Saccharomyces cerevisiae S288C: one gene and its partners. The gene in region 1 interacts genetically with each later gene. Each region holds a gene or a part of one and is shown in the gene's direction. Other genes may lie near its edges.

Region 1 (6,435 bases):
ACTCTTTCCATTGGCAGAGCGGATCCGCCAAATAGAAATTACATAAAACAAGTAATTTAGCTATTTTTCAGAGTACGAAATATTTTATTATATATATTGAATCACAATTACGAGTACTTTTCAATTACATGTTAAAAGTGCTTCATAAGTAGCTCAAACAGTTATTTTTCTAATACTATACCACTTCTGTCAAAGACTTTACCTTTGAACTGGGATAGATTTTCACCTGCATAACTCAATTTGCTGGAAACTTCGACTAGTACCCCATCTTTTACAATAGCGCCTGCATCTTCCAACCACGAGGTTCCTAGTTTCAAATATGCTAGTCTGCTGGTCTCAGGATTATCGTTCTTAGAACCAGGACCGTTTTTTAAAGGTGAAAATTCTTTGCATCTATCTACTTCTAAGCACCCAAACTTGTTCAGTGGTACAGTGTCAAAGACATCAAATATGAATTGCTCTAATTTTATACCGTTTGGTTCGGTAGGCTTAGTGTACTTGCCGGTAACACTATCATAAGCTGGAATTTTCTTCTTCGCAATGTGATATGGCATATTCTCACACCACTGATCCAAATCACGTTTTAGTAAATCCACTAGGTAATAATGATTTACAATGTTGCCTGCGCGTAGTTTTAATAAGCCATCTTTATCCTTTGCTTCAGCCAATTCATTGGAAATTTCAGAATATTCTATGACACATGGTTTCTCGTTTTTAGTAGCAATTAACCCAACTGATTCATGCGCATCTCTCTTTCTAACGGCTTTGGTGGCCAGTTCGAAGCCATGCTTGATGGCAAAACCAATAAATACAGGGTCTGCGATTTTAGATAGGACATTATCGACACAGTACATGTAAACATGCTTGATTCCTCTCCTATCAAAGTCTTCGTTCAACTTGTTTTCCTTGATGGCACGGTAGAGTCCACCATTTCCATCTGGTGATTGAGATAGGTTTACTGGGTCTTTCATTAGGAAATGCTTCCCGGTTAAATCAAAGGCAGGCAGGGTTCCCTGGTTGAAGAACGTAATTTGTTCTTTATTCAAGCCAAAATAATTGTGTTCTTGAAAGTATGCCTCAGTAGCCGCTCTAGTGGGGCCTGATGTCATAATATACCAAGGAATTTCTACCTTTTTGTCCTTTACCATATCTTGCAACCTGATCAACTTTTCAGCTTGAATTTGAAAAAGAGATTTCTTAGAAGGCAATCCAATGTCGTAACAGCCCTTTGGTTGAGAGGATCCTAACCGCGTACCTTGTCCGCCAGCCATTAAAATCACTGCGACTTCACCCTTGCCAATAGCTTCAAGGCCTAAACGCCAGTATTCATTTTCTTTCTTACTGTTGCCAATAAGCGACTCGTACGAAGTAGGGGGCAATGGTGAAATTTCGACGCCAGTATCCTTAGAAGAGTTAGCTAGTGAGAATTTAATAGCATTTTGACAGTCTTCCAGTAGTTTTGCAGGGGACCTCTTGGAAGATATTTGCTCCAGGTTTGAAAGCAATTCTTCTTGGTCTTTGCGAGACAAGCTTTCCCAATTGTGGAAAAGTTGACTTTGTCCGGCTTCAATGAATAGCTGTTTTGTGTCAGTCATAGTTGCAGTTCGATCTGGTGTTCTCCTTTATATCTGCGTTTCTTTGCAGCGTTCTTGCTTGACGGTTGATCTTGGTTTTGTGTGGTAAAAGTATGCCTTAACGTAATAGGCAATTTTTCGTATTACGCGTAACTTTTTATTCTATAAAATGTTCAATGAGGACATCTGCTATTCGCTTATGAAGAACAAACACTCAGTACTACTGATCTAAGGCAATTTTCAAGGATAAAGGAAAATAGATATTGAGCACTTGCTATTAAGCATTAATCTTTATACATATACGCACAGCAATGAGTGAAAAAAGATCCCTTCCCATGGTTGATGTGAAGATCGATGACGAGGATACTCCCCAGTTGGAAAAGAAAATCAAACGGCAATCAATAGATCATGGTGTTGGAAGTGAACCTGTTTCAACAATAGAGATTATTCCGAGTGATTCTTTTCGAAAATATAATAGTCAAGGCTTCAAAGCAAAGGATACAGATTTAATGGGTACGCAATTAGAGTCTACTTTTGAACAAGAGCTATCGCAAATGGAACATGATATGGCCGACCAAGAAGAGCATGACCTGTCATCATTCGAGCGTAAGAAACTTCCAACCGATTTTGACCCAAGTTTGTATGATATTTCTTTCCAACAAATTGATGCGGAACAGAGCGTACTGAATGGTATCAAAGATGAAAATACATCTACCGTGGTAAGGTTTTTTGGTGTCACTAGTGAAGGACACTCTGTACTTTGTAATGTTACAGGGTTCAAGAACTATCTTTACGTCCCAGCGCCCAATTCTTCCGACGCTAACGATCAGGAGCAAATCAACAAGTTTGTGCACTATTTAAACGAAACATTTGACCACGCTATTGATTCGATTGAAGTTGTATCTAAACAGTCTATCTGGGGTTATTCCGGAGATACCAAATTACCATTCTGGAAAATATACGTCACCTATCCGCATATGGTCAACAAACTGCGTACTGCGTTTGAAAGAGGTCATCTTTCATTCAACTCGTGGTTTTCTAACGGCACGACTACTTATGATAACATTGCCTACACTTTAAGGTTAATGGTAGATTGTGGAATTGTCGGTATGTCCTGGATAACATTACCAAAAGGAAAGTATTCGATGATTGAGCCTAATAACAGAGTTTCCTCTTGTCAGTTGGAAGTTTCAATTAATTATCGTAACCTAATAGCACATCCTGCTGAGGGTGATTGGTCTCATACAGCTCCATTGCGTATCATGTCCTTTGATATCGAGTGTGCTGGTAGGATTGGCGTCTTTCCGGAACCTGAATACGATCCCGTCATCCAAATTGCCAACGTTGTGAGTATTGCTGGCGCTAAGAAACCATTCATTCGTAATGTGTTTACTCTGAATACATGCTCACCCATAACAGGTTCAATGATTTTTTCCCACGCCACTGAAGAGGAAATGTTGAGCAATTGGCGTAACTTTATCATCAAAGTTGATCCTGATGTTATCATTGGTTATAATACTACAAATTTTGATATCCCTTATCTTTTAAACCGTGCAAAGGCGCTAAAGGTGAATGATTTCCCATATTTTGGAAGGTTAAAAACCGTTAAGCAAGAAATTAAAGAGTCTGTGTTCTCTTCGAAGGCTTATGGTACAAGAGAAACCAAAAATGTCAATATTGACGGCCGATTACAGTTGGATCTTTTGCAATTTATTCAGCGTGAGTATAAACTAAGATCCTACACGTTGAATGCAGTCTCTGCGCACTTTTTAGGTGAACAGAAGGAGGATGTACATTATAGCATCATTTCTGATCTACAAAATGGCGATAGTGAAACAAGAAGAAGGTTGGCCGTTTACTGTTTGAAAGACGCCTACCTGCCTTTAAGGCTTATGGAAAAACTAATGGCGTTAGTTAACTATACAGAAATGGCTCGTGTTACAGGTGTGCCATTTTCATATTTACTAGCTCGTGGTCAACAAATTAAAGTTGTTTCTCAACTATTTCGAAAGTGCCTGGAGATTGATACTGTGATACCTAACATGCAATCTCAGGCCTCTGATGACCAATATGAGGGTGCCACTGTTATTGAGCCTATTCGTGGTTATTACGATGTACCGATTGCAACTTTGGATTTCAATTCTTTATATCCAAGTATTATGATGGCGCACAACCTATGTTATACAACACTTTGTAACAAAGCTACTGTAGAGAGATTGAATCTTAAAATTGACGAAGACTACGTCATAACACCTAATGGAGATTATTTTGTTACCACAAAAAGAAGGCGTGGTATATTACCAATTATTCTGGATGAATTAATAAGTGCTAGAAAACGCGCTAAAAAAGATCTGAGAGATGAGAAGGATCCATTCAAAAGAGATGTTTTAAATGGTAGACAATTGGCTTTGAAGATTTCAGCTAACTCTGTCTATGGTTTTACAGGAGCGACGGTGGGTAAATTGCCATGTTTAGCCATTTCTTCATCTGTTACTGCTTATGGTCGTACCATGATTTTAAAAACTAAAACCGCAGTCCAAGAAAAATATTGTATAAAGAATGGTTATAAGCACGATGCCGTTGTGGTTTACGGTGACACTGATTCCGTTATGGTAAAGTTTGGTACAACAGATTTAAAGGAAGCTATGGATCTTGGTACCGAAGCTGCCAAATATGTCTCCACTCTATTCAAACATCCGATTAACTTAGAATTTGAAAAAGCATACTTCCCTTACCTTTTGATAAATAAAAAGCGTTATGCAGGTTTATTCTGGACTAATCCTGACAAGTTTGACAAGTTGGACCAAAAAGGCCTTGCTTCTGTCCGTCGTGATTCCTGTTCCTTGGTTTCTATTGTTATGAATAAAGTTTTAAAGAAAATTTTAATTGAAAGAAATGTAGATGGTGCTTTAGCTTTTGTCAGAGAAACTATCAATGATATTCTGCATAATAGAGTAGATATTTCAAAGTTGATTATATCAAAGACGTTAGCCCCAAATTACACAAATCCACAGCCGCACGCCGTTTTGGCTGAACGTATGAAGAGGAGAGAGGGCGTTGGTCCAAATGTTGGTGATCGTGTGGACTATGTCATTATCGGTGGTAATGATAAACTTTACAATAGAGCAGAAGATCCATTATTTGTACTAGAAAACAATATTCAAGTGGATTCGCGCTATTATTTAACTAATCAATTACAAAATCCAATCATTAGTATTGTTGCACCTATTATTGGCGACAAACAGGCGAACGGTATGTTCGTTGTGAAATCCATTAAAATTAACACAGGCTCTCAAAAAGGAGGCTTGATGAGCTTTATTAAAAAAGTTGAGGCTTGTAAAAGTTGTAAAGGTCCGTTGAGGAAAGGTGAAGGCCCTCTTTGTTCAAACTGTCTAGCAAGGTCTGGAGAATTATACATAAAGGCATTATACGATGTCAGAGATTTAGAGGAAAAATACTCAAGATTATGGACACAATGCCAAAGGTGCGCTGGTAACTTACATAGTGAAGTTTTGTGTTCAAATAAGAACTGTGACATTTTTTATATGCGGGTTAAGGTTAAAAAAGAGCTGCAGGAGAAAGTAGAACAATTAAGCAAATGGTAAAAAACGATAGGGTGGCACATCATATTAGGATTAAGAAAGGCTAACAACTTTTTGCATGTTGGTGGATATATATGTATATATAAATAGATACTTGGAAAAATCCAGATTCAAACAATGTTTTTGAAATAATGCTTCTCATGTTTAGAGGCAAGATAATTCTGAGTATGTTTTGGGTATTTTATTGTCAGTAATTTGTAAACGCTGCAATTCTAATGAGACCGAGCTTTGTTGCTGTATGTCATTGAACCAAGGGTGGTTCAAAGCTTCATCTATATTGTACCTTTCATCAGGATTTAGGACCAAAAGATTGGATATTAAATGTAGTACTGAGTCATCGATTTTATCCCAGTACGGAGAGTAAAACGCATACTTAGCTTGTAAGATCTGTTCCTTCAATGAAGGTGGCCCCAATTGATCACTGAATGGAGGAAAACCACATAAACAGACATATAATATGACACCAGCACTCCAAAGATCTACTTTTGATGTGTATCCTTTCTTTGTGAGGACTTCGGGCGCTACATAAGAAGGCGTACCACAAAGTGTGTTTGTGAATTGCATTTCTCCTGTAAATTTTGCTAGGCCAAAATCCGCTATTTTAACTTGAATATCAATTTCATCTTCATCCCATGGGCCAAGTTGGACTTGACTTGGATTTTCGCGCCTTGTTATATTTAATAAGATATTTTCTGGCTTGATGTCTCTGTGAATGATGTTTTGCTCATGCAGATACTTCAATCCGGTAAGTAACTGTTTGAATAGAGCTTTGGATTCATCCTGTCTCAAACATGTTTTTCTGACGATTCTTTCAAATAGTTCGCCATCGTCGATCTTTTCCAGTACCAAATATTTTTGAATCTGAGATTTGCTGATTGGCTCTACAAAACTATCTAGTAAGTTGACAATGTTTGGATGTTGCACTCTCATTAGGATGTTAGTTTCCTCCCTAAATTGTTTATTCTTTTTTTGGTCGTCATTTTGCTGAGCGTGGAATATTTTCACAGCTACTTGCTGACCAGTTTTTTTGTTTTTGGCTTCTTTCACCAGGGCGTAGTGCCCTGCACCTAATTCTTTACCTAATAAATATTTATCAAAGAACGACACAGGCCTTGTCTTATTCAGTTTTCTAATTGCGGCACTCGTTGTAGCATTTTGGCTACTTGTAGCACTTATTTGCGGTTTCTTGAAAACTTCGTCGTCGTTCTTATATGAACGACTTTCTGAACTTACCTTTTCATCGTCATTTTCGATGTCAG
Region 2 (6,925 bases), on another chromosome or scaffold:
TGGGGCGGTAGGGCTTGTTTCAGTAATGGTAATATTCCTAAAGGGACAACAGTCTTGCAAGTCAGTAATTTTACAGGAACATCTATTTCCTATGAGTTCAGGAAGGAAGTTTGTCACAATTGTTTCGCATACGCTAATGCGAAAACTATGAAGTACAAACTAAACTACGATTACCTGAGAGATTTGGTTTGTAATGCACACTACCAAATTAACCCTAAGAAGTTTCTGGGCGCTGGACTGTGGTTCTGTTCAGAACATTGCAGAACTTCTTATCTTCAAATACCAAATATCATTGAATTAATTGAATGTTATGAGATATTACTGCATCATTTTCCAAGCATGCTGAAAAGATATAATTATACCTCTGAACAGGAGGAAAAATTAAACTCTATCTTAATTTCGGAAAATGTCATACAGTCTTCATGGGATGAGATTGAAAGTAAATGGATACCGCGCATCAACAACATGAAATCTGCGAAGAGAATAAATCAATTACCACCCACTTGCGAAGATGAATATTGCTGCATTAGGTTTGTGTGCGAGAGTTTGTTTAATCTTAAATATATGGATCCTCAGTGCATAACATACCGAGCTTTCAATATGTTACAATCGAATGAGCTTAGCAAAATATCTAAATTTCCTGTCTTACTGCACTTTCAAAAATTAGTATTTCAAACACTCTATATTCTATTACCTTCACATTTGCATAGAATGCTCTCCATACCGCTATTGAGACATATATTAGGTACTGAATATGGGAATGCTTTTGGTTTATGGCAAGAGGGCGAAGCCTCAGACAGCAGAGAATATTTTGGATACTGGGTATTTCCAGAAGCCTCCTATTTCAACCACTCTTGTAACCCCAATATAACGAAATATCGTAAAGGTAATTCAATGCTATTCACTATGAATAGAGATATAAAAAAGGATGAGCAGATCTGTATCGATTATTCCGGGGTACTGGACTTACCAACAGTAAAACGCCGGGCCTTTTTGGCCGACAGTTGGTTTTTTGATTGTGCTTGTGAAAGATGTAAATCAGAATTGCAATCTGTCCATTAGCGCTTCTTCCAACGCAGATTTACTAACACTTAAGCTCGAAGATAAATCGTCATCTGAACTACCGCACTCCATTTCTTTATTAATACCATCCTTATCCAATTTGTCATTAGGCTTATTCTCACTATCCGATGTTTTCTTGTGAATGTTCAAAATTTTGGAAGTTTGCAAATGTTGTAACGCCTCATTTGTTACTTCTGTCTCAACTTCTTCAGAATCCTGTCTTTCCGTGGTCAGTGGGCTTGCGGATACATTTAATAGATTATCATTTTGTAAAGTAGGGGTATATTTATGTATTAAATCAGACATCCCTTCATTCACTTGATCATTTGAATACTTCTCAAGATCTCTTTTTTTCTCCAATTGTAGTTGTAAAAGCTCTAAGTGTTCAGCAAATAATTTATATGTTCTCTTTTTAAGAAAAAATTCAGGCGTTTCAAATATTTTTGATAAATTCTGCCAATCTATTTGATCTTGTGAATAATTCAAATTTGATACCATTGTCCAAAGCTGTCGCTCCTTTGTTCCATTCCACTCAAATTTGGGAGGATCCAAGAATCCCTGTGGTCTCCTACCCTTAACTTTGATATATACAACTGTGTTTGTACTATTCATAATCATGAAAGTCAAGTAGGAAAATGCACAGCAGTACAATTATGTATGTCTCTTCTTGATAAGTATTCACTAACACCCCTTTATTTTCACCTTGAATCATTTTTTTGACGAGTGCAGTGCGTCTAGAAATAGTGTACTTGAAGAAAAAAGCCATCTCTGTAATAGAAGCACAAAACAAGAGAAAGTATTTGAGTCAATACAAAACTACAAGTTGTGGCGAAATAAAATGTTTGGAAATGTCGAGGGAGTCGAACGACACAATACAGAGCGATACGGTTAGATCATCCTCTAAATCAGACTATTTTAGAATCCAGCTAAATAATCAAGACTACTATATGTCAAAACCCACCTTTTTGGACCCATCGCACGGTGAAAGCCTGCCCTTAAACCAGTTTTCACAGGTCCCAAACATCAGGGTGTTTGGTGCTTTACCCACAGGGCATCAAGTATTGTGCCACGTCCATGGCATTCTACCTTACATGTTCATCAAGTATGATGGACAAATAACTGACACGAGTACATTGAGACACCAAAGATGTGCCCAAGTTCATAAAACGCTGGAAGTAAAAATTAGGGCATCCTTTAAAAGGAAAAAAGATGATAAACACGATTTAGCCGGCGACAAACTTGGAAATCTCAATTTTGTCGCTGATGTCTCTGTTGTAAAGGGTATACCATTTTATGGTTACCACGTTGGCTGGAATCTGTTTTACAAAATTTCTTTGCTTAATCCTTCTTGTCTAAGTAGGATTTCGGAATTGATTAGAGATGGCAAGATTTTCGGAAAGAAATTCGAAATTTATGAATCACATATTCCTTACTTGCTACAATGGACCGCAGATTTTAACTTATTTGGATGTTCATGGATAAACGTGGATAGGTGTTATTTTCGCTCTCCTGTTTTAAATAGTATACTGGACATAGATAAGCTGACAATTAATGATGATCTTCAGTTGTTACTAGATCGATTTTGTGACTTCAAGTGTAACGTACTCAGTAGAAGGGATTTTCCACGGGTTGGAAATGGATTGATTGAGATAGATATACTACCGCAATTCATCAAAAATAGAGAAAAGTTACAGCATAGAGATATACATCACGACTTTTTGGAAAAACTGGGAGATATTTCTGACATACCTGTCAAACCATATGTATCCTCTGCTAGGGACATGATAAATGAACTTACCATGCAACGAGAGGAGTTGTCCTTGAAGGAATATAAAGAACCACCAGAAACAAAGCGCCATGTGAGTGGTCATCAATGGCAATCTTCTGGAGAGTTCGAAGCGTTTTATAAGAAAGCACAACATAAAACAAGTACTTTTGATGGTCAAATACCAAATTTTGAGAACTTTATAGATAAGAATCAAAAATTCTCAGCCATAAATACGCCCTATGAAGCATTACCGCAATTGTGGCCAAGGCTTCCACAGATTGAAATAAACAATAATAGTATGCAAGATAAAAAGAACGACGACCAAGTTAATGCATCGTTCACCGAATACGAGATATGTGGTGTTGATAATGAGAACGAAGGTGTAAAAGGAAGCAATATAAAGTCTCGGTCTTATTCATGGTTACCGGAAAGCATTGCGTCTCCGAAAGATTCTACTATACTATTAGATCATCAAACAAAATATCACAATACGATAAATTTTTCAATGGATTGTGCTATGACGCAAAATATGGCAAGTAAACGAAAACTTAGATCATCTGTTTCTGCTAATAAAACATCGTTGCTGTCTCGGAAAAGAAAGAAGGTTATGGCTGCGGGATTACGCTATGGAAAAAGAGCCTTTGTTTATGGTGAGCCTCCTTTCGGTTATCAAGATATTCTGAATAAATTGGAAGACGAGGGATTCCCAAAAATAGACTATAAGGACCCTTTCTTTTCGAATCCAGTTGATCTAGAAAATAAACCTTACGCGTACGCAGGTAAGAGGTTTGAAATAAGCTCGACACATGTATCAACGAGAATACCCGTCCAATTTGGGGGAGAGACCGTATCAGTTTATAACAAGCCAACTTTCGACATGTTTTCCTCCTGGAAATATGCGTTAAAACCACCTACGTATGATGCTGTTCAAAAATGGTACAATAAAGTACCCTCGATGGGAAACAAAAAAACTGAGTCTCAGATAAGCATGCACACCCCTCATAGTAAGTTTTTATACAAATTTGCTAGTGACGTTTCTGGAAAACAAAAAAGAAAAAAAAGTAGCGTTCACGATTCTCTTACTCATCTGACACTTGAGATTCATGCAAACACGAGAAGTGATAAAATTCCAGACCCTGCAATAGATGAAGTTTCCATGATTATATGGTGTCTTGAAGAAGAAACTTTCCCTTTAGATTTGGATATCGCTTACGAAGGGATTATGATAGTCCACAAAGCTTCTGAGGATAGTACATTTCCTACTAAAATTCAACATTGTATTAACGAAATTCCCGTGATGTTCTATGAAAGTGAATTTGAAATGTTTGAGGCTCTAACTGATTTGGTATTACTTCTTGATCCTGATATTCTTTCCGGTTTCGAAATACATAATTTTTCGTGGGGTTATATAATTGAAAGGTGTCAAAAAATACATCAATTTGACATTGTCAGGGAACTTGCCAGAGTCAAATGCCAAATTAAGACGAAGTTGTCAGATACTTGGGGATATGCCCATTCCTCAGGAATTATGATTACCGGAAGACATATGATTAATATATGGAGAGCGTTGAGGTCCGACGTAAATTTAACGCAATATACTATTGAAAGTGCTGCGTTCAATATCCTCCATAAACGATTACCTCACTTTTCATTTGAGTCATTAACTAATATGTGGAACGCTAAAAAGAGCACAACCGAATTAAAGACTGTGTTAAATTATTGGTTATCAAGAGCTCAGATAAATATACAACTATTAAGAAAGCAGGATTACATTGCTCGAAATATCGAACAGGCAAGATTGATAGGAATAGATTTCCATTCTGTATATTACAGAGGATCACAATTTAAAGTTGAGTCTTTTTTAATCCGAATATGCAAGTCCGAAAGTTTTATCCTTCTTTCTCCAGGCAAAAAGGATGTTCGTAAGCAAAAAGCACTTGAATGTGTGCCTTTGGTTATGGAGCCAGAATCTGCTTTCTACAAAAGTCCTTTAATTGTGCTGGATTTCCAATCATTGTATCCATCCATTATGATTGGATACAACTATTGCTATTCGACTATGATAGGAAGAGTGCGAGAAATAAACTTAACGGAAAATAACCTTGGAGTATCTAAGTTTTCATTACCAAGAAACATTTTAGCTTTATTAAAAAATGATGTAACTATCGCTCCAAATGGTGTTGTTTATGCCAAGACCTCTGTTAGAAAATCAACGTTATCCAAAATGTTAACAGATATCCTTGATGTCAGAGTGATGATAAAGAAAACAATGAACGAAATAGGTGATGACAACACTACCCTAAAAAGGCTTTTGAATAACAAACAGTTAGCACTAAAATTATTGGCGAATGTCACCTACGGTTATACATCAGCTTCATTTTCTGGACGAATGCCATGCTCTGATTTAGCTGATAGCATTGTACAAACAGGCAGAGAAACATTGGAGAAAGCAATAGATATTATTGAGAAAGATGAAACTTGGAACGCCAAAGTTGTCTATGGAGACACAGATAGTTTATTTGTATATCTACCTGGAAAAACTGCTATTGAGGCTTTTTCTATAGGACATGCTATGGCAGAAAGAGTTACTCAAAACAATCCAAAACCAATCTTTTTGAAGTTTGAAAAAGTATACCATCCCTCCATATTAATTAGCAAAAAAAGGTACGTAGGATTTTCCTATGAAAGTCCTTCGCAGACCCTTCCTATTTTTGATGCTAAGGGTATTGAAACTGTTAGAAGGGATGGTATCCCAGCCCAGCAGAAGATTATTGAAAAATGTATTCGATTACTTTTTCAAACCAAAGACCTGTCAAAAATAAAAAAGTATCTTCAAAATGAATTTTTTAAGATTCAAATAGGAAAGGTATCTGCCCAAGATTTTTGTTTTGCAAAAGAAGTTAAATTAGGAGCGTATAAAAGCGAAAAGACAGCCCCTGCAGGTGCCGTGGTTGTAAAAAGAAGAATAAATGAAGACCATAGAGCAGAACCCCAATACAAGGAGCGTATACCTTACCTTGTTGTTAAAGGAAAGCAAGGACAACTGCTTCGGGAAAGATGCGTATCACCAGAAGAGTTCTTAGAAGGTGAGAATTTAGAGTTAGATTCGGAGTATTATATAAACAAAATTCTGATACCTCCTCTTGATAGATTGTTCAATTTGATTGGTATAAATGTTGGCAACTGGGCTCAGGAAATAGTAAAATCCAAAAGGGCGAGCACAACTACTACAAAAGTGGAAAACATAACAAGAGTAGGAACTTCTGCAACATGTTGTAATTGTGGTGAAGAATTGACTAAAATATGTTCACTTCAGTTATGTGATGACTGTTTAGAGAAAAGAAGCACCACAACCTTATCATTTCTCATAAAGAAATTAAAGAGACAAAAAGAATACCAAACACTAAAGACCGTGTGCAGGACGTGCAGTTATCGTTACACTTCCGATGCAGGCATCGAAAATGACCATATAGCTAGTAAATGCAATTCATATGACTGTCCAGTATTTTACTCTCGTGTCAAAGCAGAAAGATACTTGAGAGATAATCAATCTGTTCAAAGGGAAGAAGCATTAATATCTCTAAATGATTGGTAATCTAGACACAGATATGTCTCGCAAAATGATGAGTAGTTATTTGTTTCTATGTATAACGTTGTTATATACAAGAAAGAAAAAAATCATTTCTTTGATTCTTGACGTTGAGATAGACGGTATCTATAATATGCAAAAAAGGAGGCCAGCAATGCTGAGAGTGAAATAAGGAATCTCTTTGAATTAGTGAAAGACTTTTGAGGAATCTTCGTATCCTCTAAGAGTGGATTGCTACTTTGAAAAACTACAATTTTATTATTATCGTATAAGTTCCCCACACATTTCCAACCTTTTAATTCGATCTCATTAATTTCGTTCAAAACTCTATCTGGTGGGGACCCAGATGCATTAATAACGCCAAATAAGTCCGTAAAATTGATGTTAAAGACACTGTGATCAAAGTTGTTTGACAGGGTCATATCCTTATTGTTTTCTAATGAGTGTAACAATATGTTATTCCCTTGAAGTACTTTTTTAGTAGTTTTACTCTTTTTTCCTCCTCC
Region 3 (3,546 bases), on another chromosome or scaffold:
CCCAAACATATATCGTTTATATAAGTACTGTTTCCTCGCATTAAGCGGGAAAGCCATGTATCTCTTGTAATTAGTTTGATCCTGTTCTATACCCAAATGTACTCCTCAAAATTATTACATTTTATTATGCCTTTTTCTTAGATGGGCTTTCACTCCACTTTACGAAAAACTGAGAAAAAAAGAGTAGGAGAAAAACTAGAAAAGGGGAATCACACACACACACACACACACACACACACACACACACACACGTCTAATATCGGCGCATATTTATCAAATCTAAAAGGCAAAGAATCTTAATACATAAAATCCCAGACGGTTATGATGGAATTCAAAGTGTCACCATTGACAAAGATTATTTCTCTGTCAGGATTCCTCGCATTGGGATTCCTTTTGGTCATACTAAGCTGCGCATTATTCCATAATTACTACCCACTATTCGATATTTTGATCTTTTTGCTTGCCCCAATACCAAACACAATTTTCAATGCAGGAAATAAATATCACACATCTGACTTCATGTCCGATTCATCAAACACTGGCCAAGATCTGGCTCACTTCCTTACAGGAATGCTGGTGACAAGCGGTATAGCACTCCCTGTTGTTTTCTATCATTGCCAATTGATTGGCCATTTGAGTTGTATCATGTGCATGATCGGTGGTCTTATCATATATTCTAGTATTGTTATTTTTAAATGGTTTTTCAAAAAAGATTTCAACGAAGATGATTCCCTTTTTGGTTAATATATAACAATTACTCATCCCCTCAACAGACTAAGCCAACTGGGTGCGTGAACCGTACATTGATATTATATAGTATGATACTCTACTCAAGGTGGGAAATCTGGCGTCGATTTCTCCTTTTTTTTAGAACTACTTAAATATAATAGATTACATAAAATTACTTTCTGTCTTTCTTCCATTTCAAGTTTTCAAACAAAAAATGCCAAGAAATTCGTGTCTTTAGCCTCTAGTTGACAGAATAATGTAGATAGGCAAAGTTGGCTGAATACATCCGTAATTTCGGGATAAGGATTGGCATTGAATCGCCACATGTCTATAATCTTATTTGAATCGATCTATGAGCGGAAACGTTGAGCAATGGTCGTACAACCATTCTGTGCCGCAATATACCTCATGAAAAGAGATGGGATTGCAAACCTTGAGAAATTAGTCTCTAGTAGGATAATGTATTGTACATTTGTTTGATTCCGCAGTTTTTATAGTGGCTTGAGATTTGTATTTCAACTAGATATGTTGAAAATATCCTCGTAGCGAATGTGGACATAGTGATAACAACAATGTCTTTGTCTTCTACACAAAGGTAAAGGTGTATAAAGCTTTACACACAATAAAGACGACACATAACAAATTATGCAACTGCGCTGCTATTGTAGGATAGCGTCCGATATTATCAATTCTTGCTTTTCAGCTTCTATTATATCTGATGACTAGTTCTCAATCTTTACGTCATCTTCCTATGGCATATTTTGTAATGTGCTAGTGACATGAATACTACTATGGATTATAGTAGGATTTCATTCTAACACAGCTCAGTGTGCAAGTTGTTTTTAATTTTACAATATGAATCTTTATTAAGTCTAAAATATTCATAAAAGTTAAGCGCCGTGGCGCAGTGGAAGCGCGCAGGGCTCATAACCCTGATGTCCTCGGATCGAAACCGAGCGGCGCTAAGCTTAATTTTTATATTTTTATCGTTTCACCTTATGAAAATTCTCGATCAGTATGCCTCAATATAGAACACTTCATTAATGGAAGTACCTTAATAAGGTTATACTAACGAATAGGTCTATTTTCCACTACGGTGTAACTTTCCGACGGAAGTAGTAAACGCGTATGAGTTAAACACGCGAAACTCTTAATTTTGAAAAGTACGCAGAAGTTCGTTACATCGCAATCAGATCAGCTCGAAATAATATTTCACATTAACTAACAACCAGAAATAGGCTTTAGTTAACTCAATCGGTAATTAATGGATCAAAAGGCGTCATATTTTATCAATGAGAAGCTCTTCACTGAGGTAAAGCCCGTCCTTTTTACGGATCTAATTCACCACTTGAAGATCGGCCCATCCATGGCCAAGAAATTAATGTTTGACTATTACAAACAGACCACCAATGCCAAATACAACTGCGTAGTGATATGCTGCTACAAAGATCAAACTATTAAAATTATTCATGATCTTTCCAACATTCCACAGCAAGATTCAATAATTGATTGTTTCATCTATGCCTTCAATCCCATGGACAGCTTCATACCATATTACGACATTATCGATCAAAAGGATTGTTTAACCATTAAAAATTCATACGAACTTAAAGTTTCTGAATCATCGAAAATTATAGAGAGGACTAAGACGTTAGAAGAGAAATCTAAACCTTTGGTAAGGCCTACAGCAAGATCAAAGACCACGCCAGAAGAAACAACCGGAAGGAAATCCAAATCTAAAGACATGGGTCTCAGGTCTACTGCACTGCTGGCTAAGATGAAAAAGGATAGAGATGACAAGGAAACCTCTAGACAAAATGAGTTACGTAAAAGGAAAGAGGAGAACTTGCAAAAAATAAATAAACAGAACCCTGAAAGAGAAGCTCAAATGAAAGAGTTAAATAATCTTTTTGTCGAAGATGACTTAGATACAGAGGAAGTAAATGGAGGGTCCAAGCCCAACTCACCTAAAGAAACTGACAGCAACGATAAGGACAAAAACAACGATGATTTAGAAGACTTGTTGGAAACGACAGCAGAAGATTCACTTATGGATGTACCTAAAATACAGCAAACAAAGCCTTCTGAAACAGAACATTCAAAGGAACCTAAATCTGAAGAAGAGCCCTCCTCTTTTATTGATGAGGATGGATATATTGTGACAAAGAGACCCGCAACTTCAACACCACCACGCAAGCCATCACCCGTGGTAAAAAGGGCATTGTCGTCTTCAAAAAAGCAAGAAACGCCGTCATCGAATAAAAGGTTAAAAAAGCAAGGAACATTGGAAAGCTTTTTCAAAAGAAAGGCAAAATAATCTTCTTTTTTTTCCAAACACTTTCCATTACTAATTGTGATGTAATGTATAATACAAATGTCAACTTACGTGATAGAAAAATAGATCAATATAAATATATATTGTTGTTTAAATTTACTTATTTTCGTCATATATCCTAATATACCATCCGAAGGACATTACTATACTGATTTACATGAACGCTTGACATAATTTGAAATTTAGTTTCTTTCTTAAATTTTTCAAAAGTGTTGCCATGCTACTAGGTAAGCTTTTATCTGCTTCAATAATGGTTTCATATAAGTTTGAACTTTTTTCATCAGCGTCATCCCATTTAGTTTCTATAACTTCAATGACTGTCGCCACTGAATCTTCATCCATTAGCTTCTTATCATCTAAAAGGAAAATTGGGTACAGGAATTTCGCCACAAGCAAAACCAAGTAATGTTTTGGTAAATAAGGGAATTCAATCAGCAAAAGCAATAGGCGCAGCGCTTGGCCCCAATCTTCTCTGTCCCTCA

What was found.
Region 2: of POL3 (region 1) and REV3, changing one suppresses a phenotype caused by changing the other (phenotypic suppression), as found in Saccharomyces cerevisiae (9 studies listed by BioGRID).
Region 3: mutations in POL3 (region 1) and POL32 are lethal when combined (synthetic lethality), as found in Saccharomyces cerevisiae (11 studies listed by BioGRID, with this or other methods).

What each region holds. Positions count from the first base shown.
Region 1 is NC_001136.10:274,987-281,421, forward strand, and holds POL3 (DNA-directed DNA polymerase delta POL3), read left to right. Parts: upstream 1-1,885; coding exon 1,886-5,179; downstream 5,180-6,435. Other genes in the region: QRI1 (UDP-N-acetylglucosamine diphosphorylase), read right to left, coding at 162-1,595; serine/threonine protein kinase DUN1, read right to left, coding at 5,321-6,435.
Region 2 is NC_001148.4:232,093-239,017, reverse strand, and holds REV3 (DNA-directed DNA polymerase), read left to right. Parts: upstream 1-1,910; coding exon 1,911-6,425; downstream 6,426-6,925. Other genes in the region: SET6 (Set6p), read left to right, coding at 1-1,062; ATG29 (Atg29p), read right to left, coding at 1,039-1,680; MRX4 (Mrx4p), read right to left, coding at 6,509-6,925. UniProt on the Saccharomyces cerevisiae protein: Nonessential DNA polymerase. Required for DNA damage induced mutagenesis. Involved in DNA repair, mitochondrial DNA repair and translesion synthesis.
Region 3 is NC_001142.9:515,961-519,506, reverse strand, and holds POL32 (DNA polymerase delta subunit POL32), read left to right. Parts: upstream 1-1,993; coding exon 1,994-3,046; downstream 3,047-3,546. Other genes in the region: VPS55 (Vps55p), read left to right, coding at 322-744; NUP85 (Nup85p), read right to left, coding at 3,218-3,546. UniProt on the Saccharomyces cerevisiae protein: DNA polymerase delta (DNA polymerase III) participates in chromosomal DNA replication.